2 linked regions of the Lonchura striata genome follow. The protein of the gene in region 2 interacts with the protein of the main gene of each other region in a pairwise test. Links are inferred from orthologs where the notes say so. Each region holds a gene or a part of one and is shown on either strand. Other genes may lie near its edges.

Region 1 (16,255 bases), on a different chromosome or scaffold from region 2:
CTCTCTCTCAGGATTTTTTTCATAGAGGAGCACAGAGGAAAGAAAAACAATTTCTATTTCTGCTCCTTGTTTTTCCCATGTGGAATGTGTTTAGAGAATTGCTTACCTGGGGTGATGCTTGGTTGGATTCTGGTGAGGATTGTTTGAGCCTGGTGGCCAATCCAACCTCCCTGGGGCTGGACTCTCAAAGAGGGGCATGAGTTGTGAGTTAGATATGGGAGTTAGTTAGAAAAAATAGGTTTGTAGTTTTAGTATCTCCTTTAAATAGTATATTAATGTATTACAGCGTAGTTATAATAAAGAAACCATTCAGCCTTCTGAGCTGGAGTCAGACATCAGCATCTTCCTGTCAATCCACTGGATTCACCTGAATTTACAATCCTAACCCTGAGCCCAGCTCTGCCCCAACCAGGCAGGGACAGGAAGGCTGGGCAAGGCAAGTGCCCGGGGCAGGGATGCTCTGCCTGGAGCAGGGAGCAGCCTCCAGCAGTGCTGTGCTCTCACAACACTCCTGCCTCTCCTCTGGAGGTGCTGGGACCAAGGGCTTTCCCTCAACACCCCGAAATTCCAGCAGCTTTTGCTCAGCTGCTCCAGAGGGAGCAATGGGGAAAAGTCAGTGCCCAGCCAAGAGCAGCAAGGTGCCTCCCTGTGCCCCCCATGGCACATCACCTCCACACACAGGGCAGGGAGGGCCTAAATGGCACTCCAGGGACCCCAAATTCACCCTGTCCTCGTCCAGCCACTCCAGTTCACCCTGTCACTTGTCCCTCTGGCTCTGCTCACAAGCCCAGGCTACTCCATGTTGCAGCCAGCCCTGGGGAGGCAGCAAAACTCAGCAACACGAGTGGCAGAGCTAAACCCAGCCCTGCAGTGCCACCTCTGGGGAGCAGCACGCTCCAGTGCCAGCTGCAGAGCGCCAGGAGCGCCTGGCAGCTCCTCGGTGCCCACCTCCCACGCTGCACCAGCCCAGTGCCATCCCCAGCCCAGCACGGCTGGCAGGTGCAGGGCTGAGCAGAAAAACACAGCAAACACCGCTGGGCCTGGCAGCCTGATGTTTATTTGTCTTGCCAAAGAACACTTTGCCCAGCCAGGAGCCCAAACCCCAATGTGGGGAGGGCAGCCAGGGGATGCCAAAAGCAGCAGGAAGCTCCCAACGTCGCGGTGCTGCGCTGGCCTGCACAGCTCCAGCACTGTCCTCCCAGAGAGCAGGGCTGGGCTTGGGATCAGGGGGGCAAACACCACCCCCAGCAGCAGGGGAGGCAGGAAATGTGTGCAGGACGTGCTGATGAAGGTGTGACACCCCCTGGAGAAGGAAGGGCTGGGGCAGGACAGGCCTGCCAAGGGCCACACGTTCCCAGCAGCAGAGTGTGCTCCACACCCATCCTGCCTGGGGAACACCTCACAAGGGCACAGCTGCTGAGCACCCCACCCTGCCAGGCCTAGGCCAAACCCCCCAGAAGGGTGGGAGAAGCTTGAGAGGCTGCAGTCCCCAAAAGGAGGAGGCAGACAGCTCTTTCCAGCTCAGATCACTTGATTCACACCCGGGACGTCTGTCCTTCCCTTCTCACATGCTGACCAGAACCAGCAGCCAGCGAGGCTGGGCTGGAGGCAAGCCCAGCCCTGTCCCCAAGCATTCCAGCAGGCTGAAGGTCTCCACCTCACAGGATCTGGATGCCCAGCTCCTCAGCTGTTTTCTGCAGCCTGTCCATGACGTTCTCCTCCAGCTCCAGGGCCGGGGCTGCCATGCCCTGCTGCTCCGAGGCCGTGCTGGCCATCACGTAATAGACAGTCTCACTCTGGCCCTGCTCGTTGGTCCTGCTCACCACACGGATGATGGGGCTGCTGGTGCTGCTGGCTCCTTGCTCTGAGGAGGAGGAGGAGGAGGAGGAAGCTCCTGGGAAGGGGCTCGGCCGTGCTGGCTCAGGGCTGGGAGCAGAGCACAGGGCTGGGGGCACGGGCAGCTCGGCTGTGCTGCTCTCTGCTGGGGCAGGGTTTGCTGGAGGCTCCAGAAGGATGCCCTGCAGGCTGCCCTCGCCCTCGGGCAGCACCACGCTGGGGCCATCCAGAGCCTCGCCACGCTTCTCCCTGTCCTGGAGCAGCTGCTCTGTCAGCTCCACGCTCTCGTAGCGCACCAGCTGCAGCCTCATGTAGCCATCCTCGTGCTCCCTGTACCTGGGCACAGACAGGAGGGGTCAGCCAGGCACAACCCCCTTCCCAGGAGATGGGCAACAGCCAGGAAAGGGCACAGCAGCTGAGGTTTCCATCCCTGTGCTGCACAGATGCTGTTTCAGCCTCTACCCCCATGTGGCAGCTTCAGAGCTTTGTGCCAGGCTCAATCCCCTCCCCAGCCCCTCTCTTTCCACCACTCTGTTTCACCGGGAGCATTTCAAGTCCTTCCTCTTCCCCTCCCAGCTTTCAGGCTCTGGAAACCCTTTGGAGTTTCCTCCAAAGGAAGCAGAAGCTCCTGTGCCAAGATGGATCCCTGGAGCTGGCCCCTGCCCAGCTCAGAATTGTCCCACAGAGGCAGCAGTGATGGCACCACCGCTCTGGAGCTGCCAGGCAGCGCTGCTCAGATCCCACTGAACATTTACTGCCCAGTGCCTCCCAGCCACTGGGAAAAGGGTCTTGAGCACATCTGCAAACATCAGAGCCCAGGCACTGCCAGCACAACGCAGGGTGCAGCTCCTGCACTGCAGAGGAGGCACCGAGCAGCTAAAGGTGAGCAGTACCTGAAGCGAGGATGTCCCGAGGGCCATTTGAACTGGTGCTTCTTCCTGAGGTGGACAGTGAGGTTGTTCCCCCGTGTGAAGCACTTGTCACACACGTGGCACTTGTACCGCGGCTCGGAGTCACCCTGAGGGACACAGAGAGCGACATCAGAGACAAAAAAAAGCTGAGAAGACTGACAGGGGGCATCACGAGCCATGGCTTCCCACCTCGTGGACCTTCCTGTAGTGCAGTTTGATGGAGCAGAGGGAACGTGCAGAGAAGCTGCAGGCCTCGAACTCGCAGCGATACGCCGGCTCCTTGCTGTGCGTGTCCAGGTGCTTCCGCAGGTCGATGAGGTTCTTGCAGCTGTGAGGGAGCAGAGCTGCAGCACACACACCCCCACACACCCACAGAGGCTCTGGGAGGTCGGGGAGGGGGCCAGCACTGGCCCTCACCTGTAGTCACAGTAGTCACACTTGAAGGGGCGCTCCTCGCTGTGCCGGAAGCGGATGTGGTTGCGCAGCGAGGAGGGCAGCGGGCACGTCATGTCGCACAGGGGGCACTTGTAGTGGTTCACTGGGCCAAAAACGGGGAGGAAACATCAGCCCAGAGCAGGGCAGAGCAGCCAGCCCACGGGAGCTGAGCTGGGAGCTGGGGCCTGCACTCACCGTGGTTCCTCATGTGGTCGCGGAGCAGCCTCTCCGTGGCAAACCTCTTGGAGCAGTGGGAGCACTGGAACCTCTGCTCTGCACAGGGAGGGCACAGGGAGAGCAGGGCAGGGAGAAGAGCACGGAGAGCGGCGAGCAGAGCTGTGCCAGGGGGCTGGGAACCCTGCTGGGCAGCCCTGGGTCCCCACAGGAGGAACAGCCCCCATCCTGCCTCTGCCAGGAGACACTTCCCGGAGGACACGGCCTCCAGCTGGGCCAGGGGAGGTTCAGGTGGGACATCAGGAGGAATTTCCTTATGGGAAGGGTGAGCAGATGCTGGAAGGGGCTGCCCAGGGAGGTGGGAGAGTCCCTACCCCTGGTCAGGGCACGGCTCGGCTGCCAAGGTGGGGATCAATCCCAGGCTGGACTCAATCTCAGAGGTCTTTTCCAGACAAAATGGTTCTGGAATTCTGTGGCTCCCACCACTCAGCAGCCAAGCCAGGCTGCTCCAAGCACACCCTGCCCTTGGCTCACAGGGTACAGACAGCTCCAGCCACCCAAAGACCCCAGCCCAGGACCCCCCAGCCCCTCCCTGCCCCCGGGGCTTACGCTCCAGGGCGGTCTGGCGGCGGATGTGGTCGAAGAACTTGGTGTTGTTGGCAAACATCCCCCCACAGGTGGGACAGGCCACCACCTTCTCCTGCGTGTGGCTGCGCAGGTGCTCCCGCAGCTTGCAGCGGCCCTTGAAGCTGCAGTTGCAGTCTGGGGAGGGACAGCACAGCTGAGAGCCCTCCCAAGGGACATAGCCTCACTCAACAGCAGCTTCTTCATGCTGTTTTGGCCAGCAAAGCTCCAAAATCCCCGCAGGGCAGAGCGAGATCGGCACGGTGCAAACAGTGTGGGCTCCCCCCAAGCAGTTAAGGCAATTGCACAAACACAGGAGGAATGAATGAAAGAAATCAAAGTAAAAAAAAAATCAGCTTTTCTCAAAGGTGGTGATTACACATAAATAGGAATCACTCAGCTGGATTCGCCGAGGGAACTCCTGCAGGAATATTTCACGGTCAAAACCATGAAATTTGAAAATCTGCTTTTGAAGGCCAAGAGGCTCTCTGAAAGCTGCTCCCCTGTACGTGTTTGCCACCCAGCCCAAAGCTCTCAGGAGAGGCCCTGCAGGCTCCCACTGACCTTTCCAGCCACAGAGCAGCACGTGGTTCTCCTTCCCTGCTGCCTTGTACTCGGAGCAGAAGCTGTGATCCTCCACGTGCCGGTAGAACCACTCGGGGTTGTCAAACGACCTCTGAGGGGGGCAAGGACAACAGGACAGGGTGAGAGAGAGCACAACAATCCAGGATGCTCCCACACAGCTGCAGAGCCAGCAGCTGGGCAGCTGTGCTGCAGCACTGTCGGGGTCTGCTTGCTTGGAATGACCCCAAAGTCATAAAAGTCCTTGTTCCCCTAGCCTGGCAGCTGAAGGAGAGGTCTGGAATGAGTGAAGTTGAGTTTTCCAGGTTGTTTATTCTTTCTGATCTATAAAATTCTCTCTCTGACCTGCCGAGCTCTGCCTGGTACAGAAGCCAGAGCAGTCTCCCCTGAGCCTCGGGCAGCTCCCACATCAGATACTCAGAATTCCGTGTTGTCTATTTACAGATTTGTGCCAAAGCCCTCCACCTGTGTTAGACTGTGAATCTCTGCCTTGAACCAACAGAAAAGTGTCACCAGCACAGCAAGGCATGGAGGGCAAGAGAAAGGGAAAAAGGCGGGGACACCCCAGATTCCTCCATCTTGTACCCCTGAATTACATCCTAAAACAAAATTCCACTTTTCCACCCTATGTCAATTCAACTACCACACTGCTCAAACCCTTGTGGTTTGTAACTCCTCATACAGAGTTGGCAGCTTTTTCCATGGGCTAAAATGGAAGCCACAGGTGGTTTTGACTCCGTGCCAAGGTCTGGGGACAGCCAGAGGGAAGTCCTGGGCTCTGAGACTGCCCAGCAGCACCTCCCGTGTCCCACAGAGCCCCGTGCTGTCACCTCACAGTACTCCCAGAGGCAGAGGAAGTCCTCCTGGATGTCAGGGATGATGTTGTGGCTCTGGAAGTCCAGCTGGCAGGGGCTGAGCCCCGCCTGGCCCTGCAGGGCCCGCAGCCCCCACTGCTTCAGCTTGCTGTGGTAGCAGTGGAAGTAGACGTGGCGCACCAGGTCGGCCGAGCTCGCCGGGGAGCAGAAGCCACAGCCCTGCCACAGGCAGGTGTACTCCTCTGGAATGGACAGACAGACAGACAGATGGCTCCTGTGGGACACAGACTGACTGACAGACAGACGGACAGCTCCTGTGGACACAGACTGACTGACAGACAGACAGACAGATGGCTCCTGTGGGACATAGACCAACAGACAGACAGACTGCTCCTGTGGGACACAGACTGACAGACAGACAGACAGATGGCTCCTGTGGACACAGACTGACAGACAGCTCCGCTGGGACAGACAGACAGACAGACAGACCCCAACCTTCCCTGGGCACCCCAAACCTCCCTGGGGACTCCAACCTTCCCTGGGCAGCCCAACCCTCCCCGTGCAGCCCCGCCGCCCTTTCCGTGTGGAAATTCCCCCTCAGGTCCCCGCTGAGCATCCCCGGGCGGCAATGCCCTCCTGCTGCCGTTCCCCGCGGGCTGTGCCCTCCCCTCAGGGGCCTGTTCCGAGCCCCCGGAGCCGCCCCGAGCCCCCCTCACCCAGCGGGTCCATCTGGGCGCGCTGCTCTCCGGGCAGGTGCTGCCGCAGGTGCTGCGCCATGTGCCCGCAGAACTCCTCCATCCCCTCCGCCGCGAACGAGCACTGCTGCCACTCGCAGCGCAGCACCACGGCCGCCTTCCCGCCGCCACGGCCGCCCGCCATGGCCCGGGCCTGGGCGGGGCTCCCGGGATCGCCCCGAACCGGCCCCGAACCGGCCCCGGCCGCGGCCGCGGCCTGCTCCGCCCCACGGGGGACACCGCGAGGCGGCGCACCGCGCGCGCCCGCCCGCCAATCAGCGCGCGGGGAGCCGCGGCCTGCGCGCAGCGCCCGAGCGGCCCCGGCGGGAAGCAGCGCTACGCCACAAAGGTTCCCATGCGCTTAATTCCTTAAGGAAATCCCTTAGGAAATCCCTTAGGAATTCCTTAGGAAATTTCCTTGGGAAAAAGCCGGGCAAGGAGCTGCGAGCGCTCCTCACTGACAAAAACCTCTGCCCGCCCATCCCTGGGTGTGTCCCAGGTGTTGGGGTTGGGAAAATCCGGCCCCGGGAGCTGCGAGGGTTCCTCACTCTCTGCCTGCCCATCCCTGAAGTGTCCGAGCTGTTGGGAAACACAAATTTTAAGGAATTTAGAGATTTTAGAGGAGATAAAACTTACAATTTAAAGATTTTAGTTAGAGATTTACAATTTAGACATTTTAGTTAGAGATAAGTCTCGCTAGAGTTCATTAAAATCAACGAGTAGGCCTCGATGAAGTTAAGGCTTAGTAGTTAACTAATAATTGCTTGTCAACACAATGTTTAGTTAGCTGGGTTTATAATGAAGAGTATAAAAACTGAAAAACAGCTTTTAGGAACACGTGAAAAATGCGTATTTTATGATTGGCTTTTCGCAAATATTATAATGAATATTATATGTGTAATGTTAGAAAGTGATGCTGTATTAATTCTCTTAAGTAGCATGTTAAATACAGTTTCAGGCTCCAACATCATGTTAAAATAGAGACTATGGATGTGGGGGGAATTCCTTGCAAATTAAGAACTTTTCTGGGTTTTGTGAACTTCTTCCCCTTAACCCTGGTGGTTCCATAAAGACAGAGAGGAGGTGGAAGGATGTTTGTCTGTTCTGATAAGGAGGCAGAAACTCTTTAGGTGCCCTGTCGCTGTTATCTCTGTGTGAAGAGTTTCTTGATTATCTCATCCCTTTCTTGAGCTAGGAAAAAATATATCGCAGAGTTTCTATTTTAACATTGTGTTGTAACCTAAAAATAGATTTTTAACACACTATTTAAAAAGGATTACTGCAGTATTACAAACTAACCCTCCACAACACATATAGAATTCAATTGAATATTTGCCAAAAGCCAATCATAAAATCCGCATTTTTCACACTGCCCATGGCAGCGGTGGAACGGGATGGGCTTTAAGGCTCCTTCCAACCCCAACCATTCCATGATTCCGTGATAATTTTTGGTGCTTCCGGAACAATTCCATCCGTAAACAAATCCTCACACTGAAAATCCATCCCTGGGTTGGTTCGTCCAACAGCAAACACAAACCCCACCAGTTCTGCAGCTCTTTGCTGTGAGATAAAACAACAAATTCCCTCTGCTCCCTCATCAGGTGGAATTAAATTCACATTTACTGTCCCAGCTGCTCTTTGTTACACACAGCAGAGGCACAGCTCCCAAAATTTGCTTTGGCACAGGTAAATGCCCTTTTAAAAAGGGTTTTTAATGGTTTAAACCCATTTTTGAAAGGGTTTTTAAGGGTTTAAACTCCTTTTAAATACTATTTTAAAGGGTTTAAACCCCTTTTCAAAAAGGGTTTTAAAGGGTTTAAACTCCTTTTTGAAAGGGGTTGTACAGAACGTGCCCAGGGTGTGTCATGCCAGGACACAACAGCTCCTGCAAATCCCACCACATCCCTACGGAAAACACTGCCCAAACCCACCAAAGTATCCAGAAAATGTGGGTGTGAGGATTTTTGAAAAGAAAACACCAGGTGAGAGGTTTGCATCTCAAAGAAGCCTGCCCGAGCTTTTGATCTCTGTTTTCAATGGATGGATCCTTGCTTTTTGCACCATTAAATGTGTCCTGCATCCTTAAAGAAAACGGGATCAACACTTTCTTTTTATCCCATAAAATGTGTGCTGCATCATTAAATAAAATGGGATGGATCCTTTCTTTTTGCACCATAAAATGTCTTCTGCATCCTTAAATAAACAGGGATGGATCCTTGCTTTATACCCCATAAAATGTGTCTTGTACCATTAAATAAAATGGGATCAATCCTTTCTTTTTACCCCATAAAATGTGTCCTGCATCATTATAAAAAGGGATCGACCCTTTCCTTTTGCACCATTAAACATGTGCTGCATCCTTAAATAAACAGGGATGGATCCTTGCTTTTTGCCCCACAAAATGTGTCCTGCATGCTTCTTTCTCAAGCGACAGAGTTCATCCCTGTGCTGGGCAGAGCCCCTGGGAGCAGCAGGAGGAAGAGCAGGGTTTTACCTGATGGCCCCACGAGCTGGCAGCAGACTCCAGCGGGAGGGAGATGGAACTGGGAGCAGCAGCCCGGTGCCAGGCTGCCCCTGCTTTTTCCTTTTCCTTTTCCTTTTCCTTTTCCTTTTCCTTTTCCTTTTCCTTTTCCTTTTCCTTTTCCCTTCCCTTCCCTTCCCTTCCCTTCCCTTCCCTTCCCTTCCCTTCCCTTCCCTTCCCTTCCCTTCCCTTCCCTTCCCTTCCCTTCCCTTCCCTTCCCTTCCCTTCCCTTCCCTTCCCTTCCCTTCCCTTCCCTTCCCTTCCCTTCCCTTCCCTTCCCTTCCCTTCCCTTCCCTTCCCTTCCCTTCCCTTCCCTTCCCTTCCCTTCCCTTCCCTTCCCTTCCCTTCCCTTCCCTTCCCTTCCCTTCCCTGGCAGCTCCTGCCCCAGGCACAGCTGGAGCTGTGCAAAGCCCAGAGCAGCCTCTGGGCTCCCAAAAAGTCAGAATTCCTGCCCAAGGGAGACCTCCAACACCCCGTGGGGGTCTCACACCCACACAGGAGAAAATGCCCATCCCAAGGCTTGTTTTCCCTGACAGATTCCTCAGCTGGAAGAAAACTTCCTCACTGCAAGGCTTGCCAGCATTTTGCTTTGCCACGAGGTTTTTCTGCCCAGAAACCTGCATTTTTCATCCATGAAATGCCAGCTCAGACAGGAAGGAAGCTCCTGGGGAAGAACCCACACTGACCATGCAAAGTGGAGCGAAACCCAGATCCAGGGATTTGCATTTAAGCAAATCCCAAGCGAGGTATGGTGCTGGAGACATCCCTAAATTCTAGAAAACCCATTTCCGCCAGGCTCAGCTGGAAGTGTCCCAGGGAGTTGTGAGCACAGGCTTCACTCTGCTCTGGGAAGCTCATGAGGGACAGATCTTCCCCAAATTCCTGCAGGATCCGGGAGCTGGGACTCGTCAGCAGCACCAACAATGGAAGCAGGTGAGTTCCAGCAGCTCAGATCTCCACAAGCTGAGGCATCTTCATGGCAACATCAGGGAAGGAACAAACTGTGCTATCCTTGGGCTCCTATTGAAAAAAAAACCCACAAAAATTTGTCTAGAATAGACATGTGACATCTTAAATGCCCCCAAAATTTAATAGTATCAATTAACGTGTTCTGCCTTCTCCAGATTGAATTTATATTCCTTCACAGTGCTATGCTTTATTATCATTATTTTTTTTTTCAAAAGGCAGTTAGATCAAAGTGATGTGAAATTGGATTCAATTTGCTTGGAAATTATATCAACTCAGGCCTAAATGAGTATTTTCTTCCCTGGTGCTGCCAGTGGAAGAGTTGTCTGAAGTTCTGACAGCTCAGCACCAGAAACCTCTGGATAATCCACTGGAAGCAGCGGGTTCAGCTGTGTGATAACTTCAGCCTGGGGTTAGAGGGGTTGAGTGTTGCTGAATTAAAACAATTTGGGCAGAGGAATAATTGAGGATGTGATGTGAGCTCCACAGCCCAGAGCAGCAGAAGGGTGTGGAAGTGATTTTCTAATGCCTTCAGAGCACAGCAAAGGTGTCAGGAAAACCTGCAGAGCGCCAGACCTGCTGGAATTCCTCTGTGAGAGCTGATGTCTATTTCTGAACCACTTTTGTTGCATTTTTTTGGGGTACTCTCACCTCATTTTTGGCAATCTGTCCCTTGCTTTGTGTTTGCTTTGTGCCTGGCCTTGGCTGAAGCTCTTTGATCAGCACTCAAACACCAAAATGAAATGCCACTCGCCCAAACTTGCAGCTGCTATGCCCCCAAAAACTTAAAAAATTAAAAAAATTAAAAAATTAAAAAAATAAAAAATTAAAAAAATTAAAAAAATTTAAAAAATCAGCAATTTGGCCAAGCCAGCAGTGCGTTGTTTAAACCCTCTCACCTCTCTTGGTGTGTATTGTAAATGCACGTGAACCCAATGGGAAGAAATGACAATGCCTGACTCAATTCAGAAGGCTGAATGATTTCTTTATTAGAACTATGCTAAAATACATTAATATACTATATAAAAGGAGGATACTAAAGCTACATACTACTTGCTCAGACTCCAACACAACTGGTGACCCTCTCTGAGAGCCCAGCCCCAGGTGGGTTGAAAAGCCAGGGAAATCTCAGGAAAACGGGAAGCTGGACAAGACAAACAGATCTGAACCAATGTGGTTAATCAAACCTTCTCCCTTTATTGGAGATAAGATGGCAGTTTATACCAGCTCCTACATAGTTTACAAAAACAAAGACACTCTGATTGGCACACTAGCATCATTTAACTTTTCCTTAAGGTGGTCAAACTTTTCACACTGCAGCTCTGCTCTAATTCACGCTCGGATAGCTGATTACTTTGTAATTACCTTAACATAATTTCTGACTGCACCACGACTGAATTCTCACTGCATCAAAGGCTTCGAGGCCCCATCAAGGCTGCTCATCAGGCCTAGTCTGAGTGGGTAGCTCAAACCTCCTTCCAAACATAAATCATGATTTCCGTCTCTCAGAAATTCTGCAACAGGGTTGGGTTGGCCACCAGGCTCAAACAATCCTCACCAGAACCCAACCAAGCATCACCCCAGGTAAACAATTCTCCACACACATCCCACACGGGAAAAACAAGGAGCAAAAATAGAAATTGTTTTCTCTTTTATTTCTCTCTGTGCACCTCTATGAAAATCCTGAGAGGGAGAGAATTGTGCTGCCACAGGTGCGCGAGGCCACAAAGCCACCAGAAACGGAGCCAAGGGACACGTCCTGAGGGGCAGGAGAGCCAAAGGCCAAATCCTGGGGATCAAAGGCATCGCCTGCCTCTGCCTCTGCCTTTCCAGGGATTAGCTTCAAAGGCTGGGAGGATTTTTCCGGGATAATTCACGGGGAAGCTCCTCCCTGGCTCCGCAGGTGCGAGCTGCGTTCAGGGCAGGATAAAAAAGCAAAGCTGTCCCTGCATTGTCCCGCAGCTCCCACCCGCGCCACAGCCCGCAGGTGCTGCAGTGCCTGGCGTGGGCGGGATGATGTGCTCCGACTCCCCTTTCATAAAGGAATTTGGAAATTAATGAAGTAAATTGTTTTCTTAAAGCAATTTTTTCTTTAAGCAAAATTTTGCTACAGTAAATTTTTATTAAAGTAAATTTTTATTAAATTTTTATCAAAGGAAATTTTTATCAAAGTATTTTTTATCAAAGTATTTTTTATTAATAATAAAAAAATAAAATTAATTTTACAGTTTAATAAAGTCATTAATTAGCCTTCTGAAATACTATTAGTGTATATATTAGTACTATATGCTAATATATATATTAGTATATAGTACTATATATATACTTATATATATATATTAGTATATAGTACTATAAATACTAATATATATATTAGTCTATATTATATATATAGTACTATATACTATATACTATAGTACTACATACTAATATAGTACTATAGCATGTATAGTACTATATACTATATACTATAGTACTATATACTAATACATTAGTACTATATACTAATATATACTAATACACGAATAATATAATATCAATACTACATTAATATAGTATAATACCGTTTAATAAAGGAATTAATTAGCCTTCTGAAAATCCTATAATTAATATATGATATATAATATATAATATATAATATATAATATATAATATATAATATATAATATATAATATGCTGCTATATTATAATATTTATTACTATTAATAATACATTGACATTTTATATTCTAAATCACTTTTCGATATTTTCTCTCTATCTATTTCTATATATGGGAATATATATTATATATATATGTAATAATTTCTATGTCTAGAAATGGATATCTTTTTGGATGACAACTCTTTCTTTATTTCTAGTATATTTTTTATACTTTATATCTAGTATATATATATATATATATATATATATAATATTATATATTTTTATACTTTATATCTGGTATATATAATATATATTTATATATTATATATATTTTAATATTTTATATCTAGTATATATATATATATATATATATATATATATATATATATATTTTATACTTTATATCTAGTATATTTTATATATATTTTTTTATATATTATATATCTATTTTTAATACTTTCCCCTGCCTAGCAGGAGCACAGACTGCTGCTCCGGGCGCCCTGTACTGCCCTGACCTGTGCCTTTGCTCAGTCCCCGCAGAGTTTGGCGCCCGGGTGTACCAAGGAGTGCGAGTGAAGCACACGGTCAAGGACCTGCTGGCTGAAAAGCGCTCCCGGCAGGGCAGCGGCTCCCGCTGCAGCGTGAGTCCTTTTCCCTTTTTTAACCCCCTAAAGTCCCAGCGTCCCGCCCCCTGCTTGCATTGGTCATGTAATGTTACTGTAATTCATTTAATTTTAATGTAATTAGTACAATGTTAATGTAATTAATAGAATGCGTGCCCCAAAACATTGCTGATGCCTCCTTGATTTCATATCTGTCTGTCTTAAATATCCCCTTAATTTTCCTTTTTTAATCGTGGCAATGCTGTTCAATTCCTCTTTCACATCCTACGTGTGACGCCTTCCCAAATTAACGCTGGTGGGCCAGGGGCAGGCGAAATGACTCGCACGATTTCAGAAGGCAAATGAAAGTTTATTCAAAAAGCGCTTCTCTCTTTTATAGAGAACATTGTGAACATTAATTCCTTTGGTCTTAGAGTAAAAACATTTCACCTGATTGGCGCACTGGACTTAGGTCAGTGTGGTAGAACATCCTATAAACCATATGAACAAACAAGATAATCAATGTTTACTTTCCTCTCAGACTTTTCCCCAGGTTTAGCCTGGCAGAAATATTTCTCTTTTTCTCCCTGACTGAACTGAGAATATCCACACCGAGTCGACTTCCTTTTCCAGCTACACCTGCACAAGTCAGTGCCCCGAAAATATCTGTTCTTCCCCAAAAGCTGAGCTCCTTCCAGCTCCTCTCCGAGTGCCAGGGATGTGATGGGCTGGAAAGAGGCCAAGCATCAGCCTGGAAGGGATGATTTCCTCTTAAAGTGCTTCTATGGCAACAGGAAACCCAAATCCTACTGCACTACATTGTTTTTTTGCTTTTTTTTTTTTTTTTTTTTTTTTATTCTCAATTGGCAGCCACAAAGCCAGGCTGTCCCCAGAAGGGGACACAGCACGGTGATGCCAGGATGTGGTGGCATCCAGGGGCACGAGGGGCCCTTCCCTGGGTGCTCCTGGCACTCACCTTTGCTGGGCAGCAGCTCCTCAGTGCCTGGGAGCCCGGGGATGCTGCCAGAGGAGGGGGAGCAGGAGCTGTGTCCTGCAAGGAGAGACAGGGAGCAGAGCCCCGGGTCACCGGCAGCACAAACTGGGAGTTCTGATGTTTTTTTCCCCCAAACCATTTACCTCTGGCTTTTTTTTTTATGCTGAAGAAGCCTCACGGGGATTTACTTGCTGTGACTTTCAGCTTCATTGACTGTGTGACAAAACAGGCAGGAAAACAAACAAACAAACAACAAAAAACCAGGATTGGGCATCACCAAACACAGCAAAATCCAGCCACAGATCCATCCCCACAGGCTTCAGCTGCTGCAGGGAGGCAGAAAGCCCCAGAGCCATGGAGAGCCACTGGGGAGGACACACTGCCAGCAGGCAGATAATGAATTTAGGAGGAATTCCTGGGGAGCAGCTGAGAAAACAGCTCCTGTTGGTGATATCCCCACGGACCTGCTCCCTCTCTGGAGGCGGCAGCTTCAACAGCCCCAGGGGAAACGACCTGGAACTGTAAAATCCTCCTGGCTTTATTGCCCTTGGCTTTGTGCTGCAGAGCCCAGCAGCTGAGCGTGTCTCTCTGATGCAAAACCAGCCCTGCTGCTCATTGCCTGCAGGAGACAGAAAATGATTGTGCAGGGCAAACATCCGTATTTGCTCGGATGAAAAGAGCAGCTGGAAGTGCAGCTCTGTTTGTCGGGCAGAACCCAGCCCAAAATCAAAGGCAGGGGCAGGTAACTGAGCACCCCTCTGCCTGTTGGTGGTGCAGGGTAATTCAGCTGCTTCTTTTGCTGGAGGGTGATGTTTGCTGCAGAAAGAAACGGTGAGTGATGGAGATCAAGGTGGGCTGTGAGGAAAGCCACACAAAATCTGGGCTCTGCACCACCTGCAGGGCTGCAGCCTGGCCTTTAGGGAGGCTCTGGCTTTTCCTTTGCACAGGTGTGAAGCTGCACTTGTCCTCCTCAGGGTGAAAGGGTTCCTGTCTTCTCCGAGGTGTGGAAGTGGGCACCTGCAGAGGTGAAGCAGTGCAGTGCTGTGGTCCAGAGAGGATTCATTGCTGAGCACCCAGCAGCACTCCCAGAGCAGGGACACACAGCCAGCACTGCCCTGCCCAGGCTCAGCTTTGATTTTTGGAGAATTTTTATTCCTTCAGCTGCTCCACTACAGACTGGGCCCAGAGAGGTGCTGCCCTGAAGCCGAAGCATTGCCACGGGGCAGGGCCAGGTCATGATTTGGAGCTGGATGCTTAAATTTCAGGCAGATTTTTCGGTGAGTTAGGAGGCAGTGAAGCAGCAGAGCTGTCTGGAGAAGCCCCAGGCAGGATCTGAGGCTGGCCATGGGCAGGGCAGGCTGAGCCCAGCTTACCAACAGCTGGACACACTCTGGGCCCCGGGGAGGCTGAGCAGATCCAGGCTCCCCATTCCCATGGCAGGGAGAAGAAGCAGAGCCGGGAGGAAATGAACTAATGGCTCTCAATTAAGGCCAGGAAGGAGCAAGGAGGGGAATGAAATGCAGGGCTCTGCTCTGATGAGGCCAAGGACGGGCTGCAGCAGAGGCTCCTGCAGTGATTTCAGGCAGCTAAAGCCCTGGTAGCTCCTGGCACCTCTGGGACTCTCCACCACAGGTGTGCACACACGGCCAGGCAGTTCCAGTGGCTGTTGAACAGACAGGATCAAAGATTAAATGCTCTGGAAATTGGAAATGATCCCTGCTGGAGGCTGCCAGCCATGCCCAGGGGCCTGGGCAGAGCATCCCAGCTCCCATCCCTGCAGCAGCTGTGCTGCCTGGACCTGCCAGCTTGGCTTTCTCCTCTAAAAGTGACCTGGATGCTGGGAGAGGACCTGGATTTGCATGTGATGGCTTCAGCTGGGGAGAGGTGCGAGCCCTGCCCGTGTGACAAGGACACTCCTCTGTCCCCAAGCTCTGGAGCTCCTTCCTGACACCTCCTGTCCCCTCCTGCCACCTCTGCAGGCTCAGAGCTGATTTCCCTGGAGGAGCAGGGAGCAGCTGCAGACCTTCCCTCGGCAGGAGAAGGAAGTCCTCAGGGCTGGCAAATTTAATTCAAATCTAAACCTCTAAATTTGGTTGCCTGCTGCGGCAGGAACCTCCTGTTTGCACTATGCAAACTGGACAGAGCGTGCCATCAGCACTGGCCAGGGCACAGCAGAGTGACACCAGTGCTGCTGGGGGCTCTCTGTTCCTGCTCTGCGGGCTTGGAGCTCCCAAAACCACATTTCAGTGGGATTCCAGAGGAGCAGATGCCTTTCCAGGGTGCTTTGGAAGGATTTAGGCACTGGGAGCACCAAGGTTACTCCAGGGGTAATTCTCCTTTACCCAGGGACCAAGAGGAGAGTCTGATGATTAATAATATAATTATTATCATAACCATTGTCGTAGCACCCAAATAGG
Region 2 (16,087 bases):
TGCCCAAAACTGATATATGCTGAGAGAAAAGTAAAATCACAAACAAAATAATTATTATGGAGTGTTTCAGACATCATCTAACTTTAGATGTTTAGTTGCCTTCTTAATTTTCTATTAGACAGCCATAACTCCTAATTTAAAGAATTTTGATTGACATGGATACAGTTCTGGTTTAGAAGCCTTGATGAAACTGAATTAATTACTATAATTCTTGCAGGAATTTGCACATGGTGTTGTCTCCTCAGGAAACACATGCTAACCTAACCTATGCTAATACCCCCCAACTCACTTCTGGAAATGGTAATCATATTCCCAAGTCAATTTTGTGCCTTTGAAAATCATAACCTGGCAGACAGGCCTTTAAAAGTAATAGTTTATTTCATTATATTACCCAAACAGGTAAAAACATTTGGTCTTTTTGAAGCACCAAACATTAGAAGTGTGATGGAAAAGATAAGTAAACAATTCAATTTATTAAGTTTTTCAAGATGCTAAGTACAAAGCATTTTGAAGGAAGTACATCTGCATCTTAGTTACCATTTCCGTCAAACCTAGTGTGAAAGGAAAAAAATGTTCAGAAATGTTCCATGTATGATTTTTAATACCAAGCACCATTAAAATATGATCATACAACAGATATCAAAAGCCTGTAAGATTTGGAAACATTCAGAAGCTTGATAACTAATTTCAAAACCAGCAAATGCTCTAGCTCTGCCTATAATATTCATACAAAATATTAAGTAGTTCTGAAACTATTTTAGTCTTAAAAATAAGACAAGAAATATTTCATACCATAGGACTCCTTCTGATTATTTCATGGAATCATAGAATACCTTAGGTTAGAAGGGATCCATAGGGATCATTGAGCCCAACTCCGTGCTCCTCACTGGGCTACCAAACTCTAAACCGTGTGACAAAAAGCATTGTCCAGATTCTCCTTGAACTCTGACAGGGCTCAGTGCCATGACCACTTCCCTGGGTAGCCTGTTCCAGTGACTGACCACTTTCTCAGTGAAGAACCCTTTCCTAAGATCCAATTTGAATTTCTCCTGACACAGCATTTCATTTTTCTCACATTCTGTTGCTGGTCACCAGAGAGATAAGCACCTCCCCCTCCTATTAATAGTATGAACAATAAACAGTATAATTTCACAAGCGTAAACCCATACATTTTGCACATTATATCTCTATGCTTTTGAGATATAAAAATGCTCACATTCGAAGTAAAAATATATGCTGGCATATGCAAACTAAGATAATCAATTACTTTTGCTCACTAGATGTAGTGACTGTTGGCTGCGTAATACGTTAACCTTCAAAACTGTGCCTAAAATGGGGGATTACTCTAAGACCATACACCTCTTCCTCAAGTTCACAATACATAAATAAAAATAAAAGAACACCTCATTCTGAAGGCTTACCTTTTGTTTTCATGGCTACGTACTCATTAAGAATTGTTGTCAAGTTTTTTCCACACAGCGACTGGAAAAAAAACCAACTGATCTTAGAATTTTCACTAATAACTTCTACTTCCTCTGCTGTAGCACATCATATTTAAGGAGCTCTTCAACAGTCTACACCATGCTGACCCTCAGTACAAGGGACTGTACTTGGTAGAGAGCAATCAATGGTACAAAATCCTCTTATATACCCAAAATGAGAAGTACTGTATCTCAAGGCACAACACTGGTAGTTAGAGCTGTCTGACATTCACTCATCTTTTTTGTATTATTGAATAAAACCATGAAAATTAGATTATGAACAGCATGATGATCATTGTCTGTTACTGATGAGCAGTAACAGGCTAATGACTATGTATCATGCTGGGAAACAACATGCACTAAGATGGAAACGTGAAGGAACCTGTCTGAAGCAAAATTTTTAACAGTCACACAGAATTAACCTTCTTATCATGTTTACTTGTCCTGTTATTTTAAGTGACACAAAGATAATTAAAATTTTAAAGTTACCACTATTCTGTACCTTCCTCTCTTGTTTACTAGTGGGAACTCTACAAGACATGACAAATATAGCACTTTATTGCAAGTATTTGAGTTGCAGTAAGAATTTTGTCTTAGATACTATGATATCACTTTTAGGTGAATAATAGGAAGAACATTTCTACTGAGAAAAGGATGATTATAAAAAGTTTTATTAATCTGGATAACCTATATCTATATTTTTATAGGTTTTCTAATTTTTGCTGGCCATAGCTTGGTTCTCAACCCCCTACCACCAAAGTGCAGATAACTGAACACTTGTAAATAAAATAAATTCAATACTTTGTTTTGAAAAGGTGCATCAAGAAGGTGCACCTTGGACCTTAGGAAAAAACTTCCACGAATTATGAATACTATGGACAAAGTCCCAGACAATGAAATTAACTAATATACTAGAAGAATGAAACAGAAAACATGAACAGAACACACACATAAACACAAAAGGTTTGACAAACAGCAATACCTCAATCCTGTGATTTACAAAGTATAGTAAAAATTCCATTTTGTAAATTTGTTTAAAATGCAAACTATCTAATTATGGTCTAGAGCTCTACACATGTATCTAGAGATGTGGCTACACACTATTTATGCACACCCAAAATCCTGCCTTTCACCCGGAACAATGCAGATGATATCAAATAGAGAGGAGGCTGAACACAATTTTTGTCAATCAAATTTGTTAGACTTAAATAAATCTGAGGTGCCTTACCTAAATACTTACAATGCACCTGAAATGGAAAATTATTGGCTGCCATGCCTAGAATAGGAAAGTGATCTTGTAAATTACAGAAGTAGCCCTAAAATCAAGAAAACCCTTGTGACAACACCCTTCCATAAATCAACCTCAAAGCTGTAAAGCAGCCTAAGCATAATATTCTGAAACCAATTTGCATATTTCACGCTTACATTTTTCTTAGTAAGCATAAATACTAGAAACCAAATAACTGCTAATATCACAGGATGAAAAAAACACTAAACAAATCAAATATCAAACATTTTAAGCAGCATTTGAGAATTAATTGTTGCACTGAGAAATCCACTATATTGTTTTCCATGGATGCAAGACAATGTAAGTTTCTGCTTTGCAAATACAAACTCACCAGCAAGCAGGCTGGAATAAAACCATCTTCTGTACAGTGCTCTGCATATTCTTTCAAATCTGAACTTTCCAGAATAAATTGATGGCAGGTAGCTTGAAGATTTTCCTGTTGCAAATAGCCTGCAACAAATTAGATGGAAAATTTTGCTATTTCATTCATTATTTCTGCTCAATAGGTATCAAATCTGAATACAGTGCTGGAATAATCAGATAAAAATTTCCATGTAATAAAAGGGAAGTGTCATTATTTTGAAAATACATACGTTCCTACCAGATATTTAACAGTTAAAACCCAGAAGAGAAAAAAATATAGATTGTAATGACATTGTATTTTCAAAGTACTCAAAACTGGAAGTGAGGCAATATGAACAAATTTTAGTTTATCTTTACACACAAGAAAATAAATGTTCTCAGCTCAGAAGGCTGACAAACAAACCCTCATATGGGCTGAACCACCCTATTTGATACTTCAATGGAAATCTACAATATTTTGTTAATGAAACACCTTGCTATGTAAGAGTAATTCTCCACACATTGTACTGTTTCAAAATAGGTAAAACCTGTACAGCTGCTGCAATAGTGGATAAGATATATTAAAAATATTGGCACTGTACAAAAATTAGTAACAGAAAAGGTCCCCCCCACACACTTACAGAAATTTTCATTTAGGATAGATGTACCAGATGCAAATTTTGCTCTCTACACCCTATGAATCAGTAGTTACCATCACAGAAAATGTACTGACAAAGTTTTCTTTTCGTCAAATATGTTCTGCTTTAATTAAACATTTTAACCCTGCTTTAATCTTCAAACACCTTAAACACTAAAAGATAGAAATAGACCAATCTGAATGAAGGATTCTAAAACAAAGAAACACAGAGAAAATGTTTCTTCCTTCTCGCTCCTAGCAGAGCTTAGCATGGAATGTTTTAAGGATAAAATAAAACATGTGCCTAGTTGTACAACGCAGGATATATACATTATCTATTTCAATGGACCCCCAAAATGCTCCACCTCAGTTCATGAATACCTGCAGAAAAATGTGCCCTTTAAGTGCCGTTTAAATGAGAACAAATATCTTTCAGCAGATCTGAGTACAGCTGAAGAAAACAAATAGTATTTCCATCATGCAAGTCTTGTTCATGTCTTCAACAAGTAGGCAAACTTGAAAATTAAACACAGCCTGGGAATACCCACTGTGAATTTAATCACAATGTAAAAGCAGGCCTGACCTGACAGAAAACATCAGTAGTGCCTGCAGAAAGAAAAGGAATATCCTATTTAATTTTTCAATTACATTTTTCCTAGAAAAATCTCGAGCCACAAGTGGCTGAATGTGTATTTCTCCACAAACACAATGATATCTCACTATGGTCCAGGCTGGAAGATGGGGTATTAGGTTCAGAGGAGCTCTGATCTGTGCAGGTATGACTGCTCTTACAATCATCCTTACCTGAACACTTAACAAAAAAAGTTGCCGTTTTTCTTTCTTGAACCTACTACTACAGTATCACAAGTGATGACCGAATGTTTGCATACGGGCACGTTTGACATACACCAGTTTCCTGGTAATAAAGCATTTCAAAGGCTAAAAATGCCTGTGCATCTGGCCCAAACTGCTTGTGCACACACTGTATAATGACATAGGACACCAAAATCAAAGGCACAAAAGGTGTCCTACGTAGATTTTGAATGTATGGAAATTATTCAATATTTTGCTCTACCTTAAGAAATGTCTAACCCATAGTACACATTCACTCTATCAGATAGGAAAAGATAAATGTTCTTATGCATATCCTGTGTGTGAGCTCAGCTTATAATTTTAGTTTTGTTTCTTTAACAAATACTCATCAACTTTCACAGCACCAGAAAGATTTTGTGGGGGGCTTGGGGGAGAAAGGTGGAAGAGCTTGCACTGGGAAGTCTATTTACCACTGAAATTCAGAGATGTCTCACAGAAGAGGAATCCCTATTAGAGAATAAAAATGGTTACAAGGAATGTCCTGTTCTGCAACTTTAGGTTGCTCAGAGGTTTTCCAGACATGATGCATGCTCCGTGCCACAACAGACACAAGACAGGATGGATCATTCTCAGCACACAGGATGCCAAGATTGTGTGCTACATCTTCAGGTTGCTGGTAAGCACATAAGAAAAGCTTTCTACCTGGAAACTTGTAACTTCACCAATCTTGTTTGGAAGAGCGCAATGAGAGATCTCACTTGTATGAATTCAAATTTTCTTTTACAGTCCATGGAGTTTCTAAAAATCCTGTTACTTCACAGTAATAAAAAAATTGCATCTCTCACTAGCCTTTTTCTCAAGACAGTAGCAAGCAACAGTTCAGGTAGTATTTAAAAATAACTTGTGCTAGGGGAACACTTAAGAAGAGTTTCAGTTTTAATGTCTTTGGATTTTAAAAAACTGAAAACTGAATCTCACAGGGCAAGCTGCCAGGAAATCATGGCAACCTGTGCCAATAAGTACTTTGTACATGTGGGACTGAAATATGTGAGTCATATTTTTCCTTACCATCAATTTGCTCTCACCTTTGGCAGAATCCAAATAATCCAAAGCATAAAGTCATTTTTAAAGATTCACTGTCTGCTACCAGTGTCCTGAACACACTTACGCAGTGCTTTCCATAGACTCTGATCACGAGTCTGAACTCTTAAGTGCATCCTCAAAAGTGAGCGAAACACGGTCGAAAAGAAAAACCATCTGACCCTTAACGCAGCCCTCCCTGGGATTTCGGGTCACGCTTGGACTCCTGCAATCAGGAACTGTTGAAGCACGGCTCAGCAGCTCTCGGTGTGCAGGTGGGCACCGCAGACCGCCACGTTTCCCTGGACTCGCCAAGAAGCCGAGCCCAAGGCACGGCTGGGGAGCGGCCTGCTCGCTCAGCCCCGAATCCCCCAGCAGCGAGCACAGGCCGGGCCGGGGGGCGGCGGGCCGGCCCAGCAGCGCCCGGTATAAACGCCGGCAGCGACAATCCAGCCTGGGGGACCAAGAGACGTTGCCAAGGGGCAAGGGCGAAGCCGGCCGTGTCCCGCCGCGCCTCGGGCGGCTGACAATGCCCGGCACAGCCCTCCCGGTGCTCCGCGCCTCACCCAGGCATCCCTCCGTCCCTCCCGGCTCACTCACCCAGCACCAGCCGGGCCACGTCGGACGGCAGCAGCATGGCCCGAGGCGCAGCGGGGCACGGGCGGGCGCAGCGGGGCACGGGCGGGCGCAGCCGGCCGCCCCGCCACCCAGGCGAAGGCGCGGAAACTCCGCCAGCCAGCGCCGCGCCCGGCCCCTTCCGCCGGAACCCGCCGCGGCCGCTCATCCGCTTCCAGGTCCGCCCGCAGCCGCGGCTTCCACGCGTGAGCCCCGCTCCGCTGCGCCCCGCCGGGAGCGGGGCTGCGAGCGCCACGGCCGAGGTGAGGGGCTGGGCCCGGGCGGGGCGGCCGCGGCCCCGGCTGCGGCGCTGAGGGGCGGCGGCCCGGGGTTACCGGGACCGGGGCTGCCGGGACCGGGGCCGGGGCTGGCGGGGTTGCCGGGGCCAGGGCTGCCGCTCGGCGCTGCCTGCGTGCCCGTGCCGGGGCACCTCGCAGCGCCTCCGCCAGCTCCTCTCTCCGCCGTTCATGGTTTTGGTGCGCCCGCCTTCCCATGTGTCATTCATGTGCGCGGGAAGGCGGCCGTCATGGGATAGGTGGAAAACTAATCAGCAAGAGAAAGAGTACGTGGATTCATTCTTGGGAATTTCTCAGTGCTGCTGTTATGGTTGTTGGCAGCAGACGACCCTTGTTGCCGCAGTTTTCGATCAAGCGCATCAGAAGCCGCGGGTGTTTGAAAAGTTTGTTTCCGTTTCGTTTCCAGCAAGAGCATCGAGTCTGCTGGGTTGGGTTGTTTTGTGTTCCGGTGCCCAACCACCAGAGGGACAGAGAGTGGTTGAGCGCTGGCGCAGGCTCCCCAGGGAAGAGCTCTCAGCGCCAACCTGCCTGACTGCAAGAGCTGCTCGGACAACTCTTTCAGGCATTTGATGTGATTCTTGCGTCCTGCACAGGGCCAGGAATTGGACTTAGGGGATCCTTGTGCGTCCCTTCCAACTCAGGATGGTTCTTGAATTTAGTAAAGGAACATTTAATTTAAATAAGTGCGGTTGTGCAGTACAGGCAGCCTTCACACTTAAAATGTATTATTTTTCACACACATCTATGAGTCACCGAATCTCTGATCTTACTTAGTTCCAGCCTGATCTTGATTGACACCAAAGGAAATAAATGCAGTCTAAGACAGTAGATATTTAAAGTTTTGCTTATTTAAATGACGATTTTTGTATTGTCATGTAAGCACTCAAGATGCAGTGCTGTGCATCATGAATGCCTGTTCTCCCTTGCTTATTACATCCAGCAGCACGTGTTTGGAGTTACTTCCAGCTTGTGTGATCTGTCTTTTCCAAACAGGGTTTCTCTTGAGTCTACTTTAAGGGTGCAAAAGTAGAAGCAGAGGATTTAAATAGAATGTCATGGTTCTGATCTGCAACATCGTAACTTCATGTAATACAAGGTCTAGCTAATTCAAACCTCTATGGAAGAAGAAGCATACTTTTAAGTGATGACAGAAGGAAAAGTTGTTTTTTCATATGACTGATACTTAATCATCCTTTGGCATGTTTAGTCCCTGGGGATTCATCAATAGATAGTGCATACCTATGAAAATTTACAATGTGAGGGAGCATTTTCCAGGCGGTGCCTTCTCCTGGCAGTATCAGGTTAAGAGGGCTACTGAAAGTTAGGTCCACTTGCCAGAGTGTATTTAGCTCTGTCATTCTTACTATAATTGTCCTCTCAATTGTCTGCCCAGGTCTACTCAGCGCTCATGGGAAAGGGAGGAAGTCAGAATTATGTGATGGGGTTCTCTGCAGTTATTCTGTGACTGTTGTCTGTGGGAATAGATCGCATTCTTGACATGAAACTGCTTGAGTTTTCAACCAATAAGACTGACCCAGCTGCAAATGAGCTTTTTGGTGAAACATTGAACATCGTGGTTCTGTTTGATACTGGACTTTCAGTATACATTTTTACTGGGCTGCATGGTCAATAATTACTATTTTATCCATTTCTTCTGTGTGCAGATATAAATGACTCTTCTTTAAGCTGAACCATGAGTCTTGCATTACATGATCTGCTGGTTTGTTGTCGTCGCCTTGAAAATGAGAAAGCTGTGGAGCGAAGGGTAACAAGTTTTCTTTTGGGCAGTATACCTCAAATCGCAATGAAGGGAATCATAACAAATTATTCTTTTTGTAATACATTTTCAGAAGGAAATTGAAAATTTCAAGCAACTTCTCCGTGATTCTGAAACAGTTCTCCAGCTGGACCGGAATTCTGATTCTAAACAAGCAAAGCAACTCAACTGGGATGCTGTATTTAGGTAGCTTCTTGGTTTTGTTTGTGAATGGTCACAATTTTCTTGAATGGGACATGAATTTAAATAGAAGGCCAGAAAATCTATAGCAATTACATGACAAATACCGTGAAAAGTGTAATTTATTCATAGATCTAAGACATAATCCATATATTAACTTCGAATTATAAGGAAATAAGACTTAAAGGCTTTTGCAGTAAAAGCAATGATAAATACTTCTTATTATTTTGTTTTATAATGTTGCAGCATAAATAAAAATACTTAGCAATGCTTTTTTCTTAATTGTAAGTTGTATGTTTAGCACTGTGCAAAGTTTAAAGGAAAGTTTGATTCCTACTCCAAGTTGCTATGGGTTATTTTTAAAACTTGCGTCTCCTTTTATAAGCTGTTTTCCAGTCATGCTTGGACTGTAGTGTATTTCAGTTGGGTTTAGTCTTTGATAATCACAATTGTGAGAAGAACAGGAACTGGCATTTTAGCCTAAACCAACATTTTCCTATTTTACTTCAGTCATAAATGAGCAGATCCTTGGTTAATCTCTCCTTTATTTTTGAAGTGTCTTGCAGAAATATTTCCAGAAAGAACTTAAAAACCTGCAACTGACAAAACCAAATGCATCTGCTTCAACCCAAACTGCAAGACAGAAAAAAATACAAGAATTTGGAAGTTTGGTCAAATATTTCATCAGATGTGCCAATAAACGTCAGTAATACGTATTATCATATAGAGATACTGGTTTGGTTTGGTACTTTGCTTTCAACTTTGAATTTATCTTTGAAGTTACCAATGTAGGGCTCATCATATTTGCTTCCAGGTTTTTGCTATTTAAATATCTTAAGGTGAATCTGTCACTTGTGCTCCTTATCTGTCCTTTTTGGTGTTCACAGTGCCTTTTTCTAATTACTCAATGTGTCTATAACTGATATATCCTCCCACTGGTAATTTATATTTTAGAAACAGTTTAAGAAAATATTTCCTCATAGAACTGTTTCAGAACTGTAAGTTTGGTGTTGTTTTGTTTTTTTTTTAATTGGTAACATTTACAAACAATTAATTACAGATTTATTTGGTAGCATTTGTGTTAATTAAATAGTCTCATGTCGTTTCTTCATATAGGAGGACCCAGACTGAAATGTCAGGAACTTCTGATTTATGTCATGGAAATAATAAGAGATCCAATAAGTTGTGCTGCTTATGGTTCTGACTGTAGTAGTATACTGCTAAAGGATATCGTCTCAGTAAGGAAATATTGGTGTGAGATATCCCAGCAGCAGTGGTCAGGTAACATTTTTGAGCCTACTTAGAGATGTCTTTTCCTTTTGTAGAAACATATTTTAGATGTGTTTTCTTTTGTTTGATGTCCTGTTGTGTGAAGTAGTACAGAAAATATGGAGTAAAGCAGTGTCAGCCTCTGTGGGCTTACACTTGAAGTAAACAAAGCAGCAAGGATTAGGATTTGATTTTTTTTTCTTTGTGTGTACTGTTTGTCTATTGCTTGCTGAAGCATAAGTACTTCTGTACGGTCAGGTCATGTGTGCATGGTCTGCGCAGGTCACTGGAAGAGAACACAGGCATGGGGAGCCAGTGGGGCTTGCTGTGGGGTGGTTAGTTCCTTTAGGAACATGAAAGTTAGCTGAGTCTGTGTATGGGCAAAACTGGGAAGTGTGGCAGAAGAAATGTTGACATTAGGTTTTAAGGAGTACAGTGGAATTTAGTTACTGAGGTGAGGCAGGGCTGAAGGCCATAAATCTAGAAGAAGTCAGACTTTAATCCAGTAAGTGAAACAAGTTGTTTTTATTAAAAGAGAGTTATATAATCTTTGTAAAGGTTACTATAACCTTTTCTTGTGATTCCACCTTAATGCTTGCTCATAACTCTTGGGGTACATTAGAGAAGTCAGGTTTTTTATTTATAAAATCAGAGATCTATTGCTGTTGAAAGTAAGAACATGGATACTAGCTGTTGACCACAGTGTGGTAGTCTCTGTGTCTTTAATGCAATATTTTGTGTCAAGACTTTTTAATGTAATTCTCTGTAATATATATGTTTATACTTACCTCTATTTTTTTAATGCATTTGCAGAGTTGCTGACCCTCTATGGCCATTTATACTTCAAACCTTCAGGGAGCATTAATAGAGTCTTAGTGGCTAGGATAATTCATACACTTACAAGAGGGTACTGCTTCCAAACTGATGGGTTGTGTTCTGACATGCTTGCCTTCTTTTCAAAAGCAATGCAGTCTGCAAGGTATGTTGCAAGTGCTCCTTTTGTATGCTAGAAAATAACTTATATTAAGTGCTCGGGATTAGACTTGAGTGTTAACAGGTAATACTTCTTCAGATGTATTTTCTTCTACCTTTGAATGTCAATTAAGGAACTTGTCTAAAATATTAATAACTGCTGCATTTGTTAGGCAAATACTATTCAGAATGTTGTTACTTGTTAGTATTTACATTTAAACAGCACTTATGAAAATAAATAAGATAATTTCTCTTGGAAGTTTAAGTGTTAGGTTTGTGTTACAGGCAGGAGAGGAATATTGCAGGCCTGGATCATATTGTTGGAGCAATGAATATCTTCTGCAACAAGTTTGCTGACAACTGTCGCATGCGGATTTGCAAAGTAGGGGAAGAAATTTTGCCTACAGTGCTTTACATATGGACTCAGTATAGACCAAAGGATTCCCTGAAAGAATCAATAATTGAGTTATTTCGTCTCCAAGTTCATATTCATCATCCAAAGGGTGCAAAATCTCAGGGAAGAGGTACCATAAAAAACTTTTTTTTTTTTTAATTGCTGCATGTGATTGTGCCAACTCTGAATTTTGATACTGAGCCTTGGAAACATTAATGGTAGTGATGATTATTCATCAGTAGTTTTATGCTACAGGTTAATACTTAGTGAAAGTGAAAAGAAATTTTCAAATTTTATCCCCTGAGAGCATATTAATTGTATTAAATTCCTTTAAAGGTTGGGCCATCTTTTAATCAAAAGGCAGTTTCAATTGCTAAATAAAAGTACCAAGTCTTTGGGGAAAAGAAATAATAGTTTAGATTGCCAAATACATTTGGTGTCTTACCAGATCTATTTAAACCCAGAAATTACTTACAAAAATTATAAGTCAGTTGATTCTGACTTACACTATAAAATGGCTCAGAGAATATAACTCAGTAATTATGTTTGTTTGTCGTGATTTATTGTAGTTCTAGCATAATTCTTTTTTATACTTTGTACAAATCTATCAATTACCTTTAACTGTATTCTTTCCAGTTAGATGAAGAATTGTTTATTAGAAACTTAATTCCTATCCTAATTACTTCTATATGCTGATTAAGTTATTTCTTAATTTTTCCCCTTTTTTACTTTATTCGTTCTAATGTATAGAATTTGCTTTTCAGGCCTGCACTTGCTGAACTTTGTTTGCCTTACTCAGATTTTGTCTGTATTTTGCATTGTCTGGGTAGGTTTACATATTGGGTCAAATGGGTGATGCTATCTTTTAATTGTTTTTGCATGTACAGCTGCATATGACTTAACAAGGTGGCAAAGCATCTTACATAACCTGTATGATCTGCTGGTGAATGAAATAAATCTCATCAGTAGCCGTGGGAAGTATTCTTCAGGCTCACGTAATATTGCTGTAAAGGAAAATTTAATTGAGTTAATGGCTGATATTTGTCATCAGGTAACATTTTTATTTGAATATAAGATTGACTACATAATTACTGAGCTGTATGTTTGACTGAAGTATTCATACCTTTTGTCTGTGATCTGTTGTGTTTTGTTAATTCTGTACAGTTTAGAAATGTATTTTGCTTGTGTTTCTTGTTAGGCTATAAGTATTCCAGTTTTCTTGTAAAGACTGCTGCTTTTTTTTTTTTTTTTAATTTGCATACTTCTCAAATTCTCTTTCTGAAAGGTTTTTACAGAGGATACCAAAGTCCTTGAAATTACCCAGTCCTATGCTGTTTCACAAAGAGAGTCCAGTGAGGACACGGTGTCAAACAAGCGCAGGAGGATTGAGCTTGGCTGGGGTTCCATTCGAGATAATGTGCAAAGATCCCAGAAGGATTTTGATGTCATACCTTGGTAATAACATCTTTACATGAAAAAAAGTATCACTCCAGACATCTTTTTACATTTAACAGTCTCCTGAATATGTTGTGCCTTTAAGTTGGGTGTCTGGACACGCTGTGATTATATATCTAAGTAGTGAACTTAGATTGTCAGAGCATTTGGAAAGTTGCTCTAAGCTGGCTGTGGCATAGTACAGTAACCATTAAGATTTTGGCCGTTTTGGACTAGTTCACAGAGTTTTCTGTAATACCTGTCCTGAAAACTATTCCAAGGCCTGGCTTCTTACCTTGGACCTTGATTGAGGGGTATTTTTTTTTGGCATGAGGGACCTCTGAACTGTAAGAAACTGTTAGTGATAGTGAGGCTAGATGAACAGTCTTTACAAGTAGAAATGGTAGAAATACTGAATCTTTAACTTTTGATAATAAACAAATCAGCTCAATCCTGGAAAGTGTACATGAGAAATGCAATTGAAGAAGGCTTTGTTTGTTTGTTCATTTACTTCTGAAAATGCTGATTTCTGTATATTTGGTATTGATTCCTTCACTTTCTGTTTTCAAGGTTACAGATTACAAGTCAGCTAATATCCAAGTATCCCACGAGTATTCCTAGCAGTGAGCTACCTGCCTTACTCAATGTCCTTCACCAGTTACTGCCTCAGCAGCGCCGAGGAGAAAGGACTCCGTATGTGCTGAAGTGTCTCACAGAGGTAGCTTTGTGTCAAAACCAGAGAACTGATTTGAAAAGCACCCAGAAGCTGGAGCTCCAGAGAACCTGGGCAAAGATCTGGACTCTTACCATTCGCAGCGTTAGCCTTCAGCAAATTGAAGTGGAGAGCTTTGGGCTGCTTGGAGCTATGATTCAAGGGAACCTTGTTGTAACAGATAAAGAACTCTGGAAAATATTTTCAGGACCTGCATGCAAACCTTCAAGGTAAAATGGAATCAGTGGTAGTGTCTTGTGTCTGATTCACATTTCTCTTTACTGTACAAACAAAACAACTGTGTTACTCAATATTTTTGTTGATGTGACTATATTTCTGTTCAAAAACTGCACACATTTGTGTTCTAAGCATTTGAAATTATCATAAATACATAAAAAGACTGAAAGCAGAGGCAGAAGAGACAAGCATCTTCACATTTAGAATATAATAAAATTTTAAATGGATTAAAAATTTAAAGATCTGATAGACAAATGTTGATTTTTTTGAAGTTAAGAAGGATGTTTTCTTCTGAATTTTTATTCTGAAATAAGTACTCTGATATAGTCGTTAAGATAGGTAGGCAATGTCTGTAACAGCCAAGAAAAAGCAAAGATTTTAATTAAGGAATAGACCAGTATGCATGCTTTTTAACTTGCTTGTGTACTTGGTGCTTCTTGGGCCTGCAGAAATACTCACTTTGCTTTAGAGTGTTAATCAACAAATACCACCTGGTTTCTCCCTGTTCATTTTTGTTGCAGTTCTGCTGCATGTTGTTTATCATTAGTGATGTCTGCCTACTCAGTGCCAGAAAATTTGGACATAGGAATCGAACAGAATATTTCTGAGAGTAATCTGGGTTCTGTGCTAAGGGAGGCAATAATGAAATGGCTCCTGTCCAGCAATTTGGAGGAAGAAATAGATGAATGTGCAGAGTTACCTCCTGTGCTCCTCAGGTAAAGTTTTTGTGGCATAATTTTACATGCAAGCTCCCCCTGTAACACAAAAAATTCTGCAGGTAAAAGCATATTATATTAATGCAGAATTCGGATACATTAAAGCTTAAGCAGAGTCTGTAGGGTTTTTCAGCTTCCTGTAGAATGTCATTTTGGGGATATAATTTGGTTATCTGCCCATATCACAGTAGATACATGAACTCTGCATTAAAAATCTTCAGTGAAAACTTAAATTTCATTGAAGATACCCTGTTAATCTGCTCAATGTTTGTGTGTGCTTCAGGAATCCCAAGAGTTTGTCTGATTGCAAGAAAATATTAAATTATTTTCTTTCTTACAGTGATTTTCCTCATCTTGTATTACAAAAAATTCTTGTGAGCCTTACGATGAAGAACTGCAGAGCCTCCATGATGTTTTTCCAAAATGATGCTAAATGGTATGTTTTTAAATTAATCATTATAGGCACTTAAGCTAGGAATGCTTCTGCATCTTTCACCAATGCTTTGGACTATATTCAAAGTTTCTTTTTAATAAGACTAAAATGTGTTTAAATTGTTCTGATGCAAGATAAGACTTACCTACTAGAAGTTAAAAATACTAGTTTCAGGGGCTTTGTGGATTTCTGCTTCAGCTGTGTCAAGTAGGCTGAGGTCAGGGACTGTAACACAAAGCAGATGCTGCTCCATAACTGCAGGAGAAGGTATGATCTGTATGCAGGCTTCTTGTTTCCTTACGGTTCAGTTAGAGGTAGAGTGGTATTGTCCATTCCACAGTGAAAGTCATGTCAGAAAGCAAAGGTCAAACAGGGTTTGGAAGTGCAAAAAGATAAAGTATTTCATTTTACTTTTGTATATTTCCTGTATTTAAATAATAGTATTTAAGACTTTTAAATTATATACTGGCTGCAAAGTAAAAACTGTGTCTCTTCTTCAAGTGAGCAGCATGTGCAAGGGAAAGAAGAAAATAGTTTTTCTCATGTTGAAGAGCTGTACCTGCAGACTACATTTGATGAAATGGATATTTTCACTAACTTTGGAGTAAATGTTGCAGATAAAAATGTGACTGGTTCAAGACTTGCCATCAACCAAAATCTTAGGGAAACACTGGAGAACTGCCTTTTAGCAATGTCAGAAAAGCTTTTAAGCAGTTGTGGTCCTAAGGTAAGTTAGAAATTGTTGTTACATCCTTACATTTGTGCTCCCAAGCAATCTATTTCCAAGGCAGAGTGTATGCATTCTATATTTGGTGGTGATGAACCACTGGTATTTATCCTGTGTATTTGATTTAGTCTAAGGCTGTTGCTGCTGAGCACCTTGTGCGATGTGTCAGTCTCTTGGTTGGTGTTCTGGGTTGCTATTGCTACACCGGTATTTTTAAAGAGGAGGATGCCTGTAAGTCAGCGTTGTTCCAGAATGCTAAGGTAAGCAGCAATGCATTTGGGACCTCTTGAAAATTAAATAAAGCATTGAATATAAATTCATTCATAAAATTCTGTTTGTGTTGACACAGAATAGTACAGGTATCTCTTCAGAAAAAGGTAGCTTAGAGAGGTTTAAATATGTTTCTGCTGATGAAAGAGGAGTCACTGAAATTCTGTCAGTATACCAGCTCATGAGTTTTGCAGTGGAGATTATTCTAAATATTGATATATTTCTGAGTAACGCCTTTCAAAAAAATAGAAGTCGTGGACGTGTAGACAGAGAACTAATTACAGGATAACAATTTTCAGGTCTTTTATTCAGGAATTTAAGATAATTTGATGGTTCAAATCAGTATGAAGACAGCTATTGCTATTATATTTATTATTAGTACTATCTGAGGTGGTTACTGGTTTAAATACAGAA

What was found.
Region 1: the proteins of NPAT (region 2) and HINFP interact in a two-hybrid assay, tested with the Homo sapiens proteins (2 studies listed by BioGRID). The link is inferred for Lonchura striata from reciprocal best matches to the Homo sapiens genes NPAT and HINFP.

The regions. Positions count from the first base shown.
Region 1 is NC_134625.1:9,237,988-9,254,242, forward strand, and holds HINFP (histone H4 transcription factor), read right to left. Parts: upstream 6,317-16,255; 5' UTR 6,257-6,316; coding exon 6,094-6,256; intron 5,620-6,093; coding exon 5,393-5,619; intron 4,657-5,392; coding exon 4,545-4,656; intron 4,119-4,544; coding exon 3,966-4,118; intron 3,456-3,965; coding exon 3,378-3,455; intron 3,286-3,377; coding exon 3,165-3,285; intron 3,076-3,164; coding exon 2,937-3,075; intron 2,855-2,936; coding exon 2,730-2,854; intron 2,173-2,729; coding exon 1,659-2,172; 3' UTR 1,036-1,658; downstream 1-1,035. UniProt on the Homo sapiens protein: Transcriptional repressor that binds to the consensus sequence 5'-CGGACGTT-3' and to the RB1 promoter. Transcriptional activator that promotes histone H4 gene transcription at the G1/S phase transition in conjunction with NPAT.
Region 2 is NC_134604.1:44,464,992-44,481,078, forward strand, and holds the start of NPAT (protein NPAT), read right to left. Parts: upstream 6,379-16,087; 5' UTR 6,279-6,378; coding exon 6,242-6,278; intron 3,220-6,241; coding exon 3,101-3,219; intron 1,483-3,100; coding exon 1,422-1,482; intron 1-1,421. Other genes in the region: serine-protein kinase ATM, read left to right, coding at 8,246-8,317, 8,403-8,515, 9,066-9,211, 9,626-9,790, 10,592-10,757, 11,036-11,274, 12,032-12,195, 12,430-12,599 and 5 more. UniProt on the Homo sapiens protein: Required for progression through the G1 and S phases of the cell cycle and for S phase entry. Activates transcription of the histone H2A, histone H2B, histone H3 and histone H4 genes in conjunction with MIZF.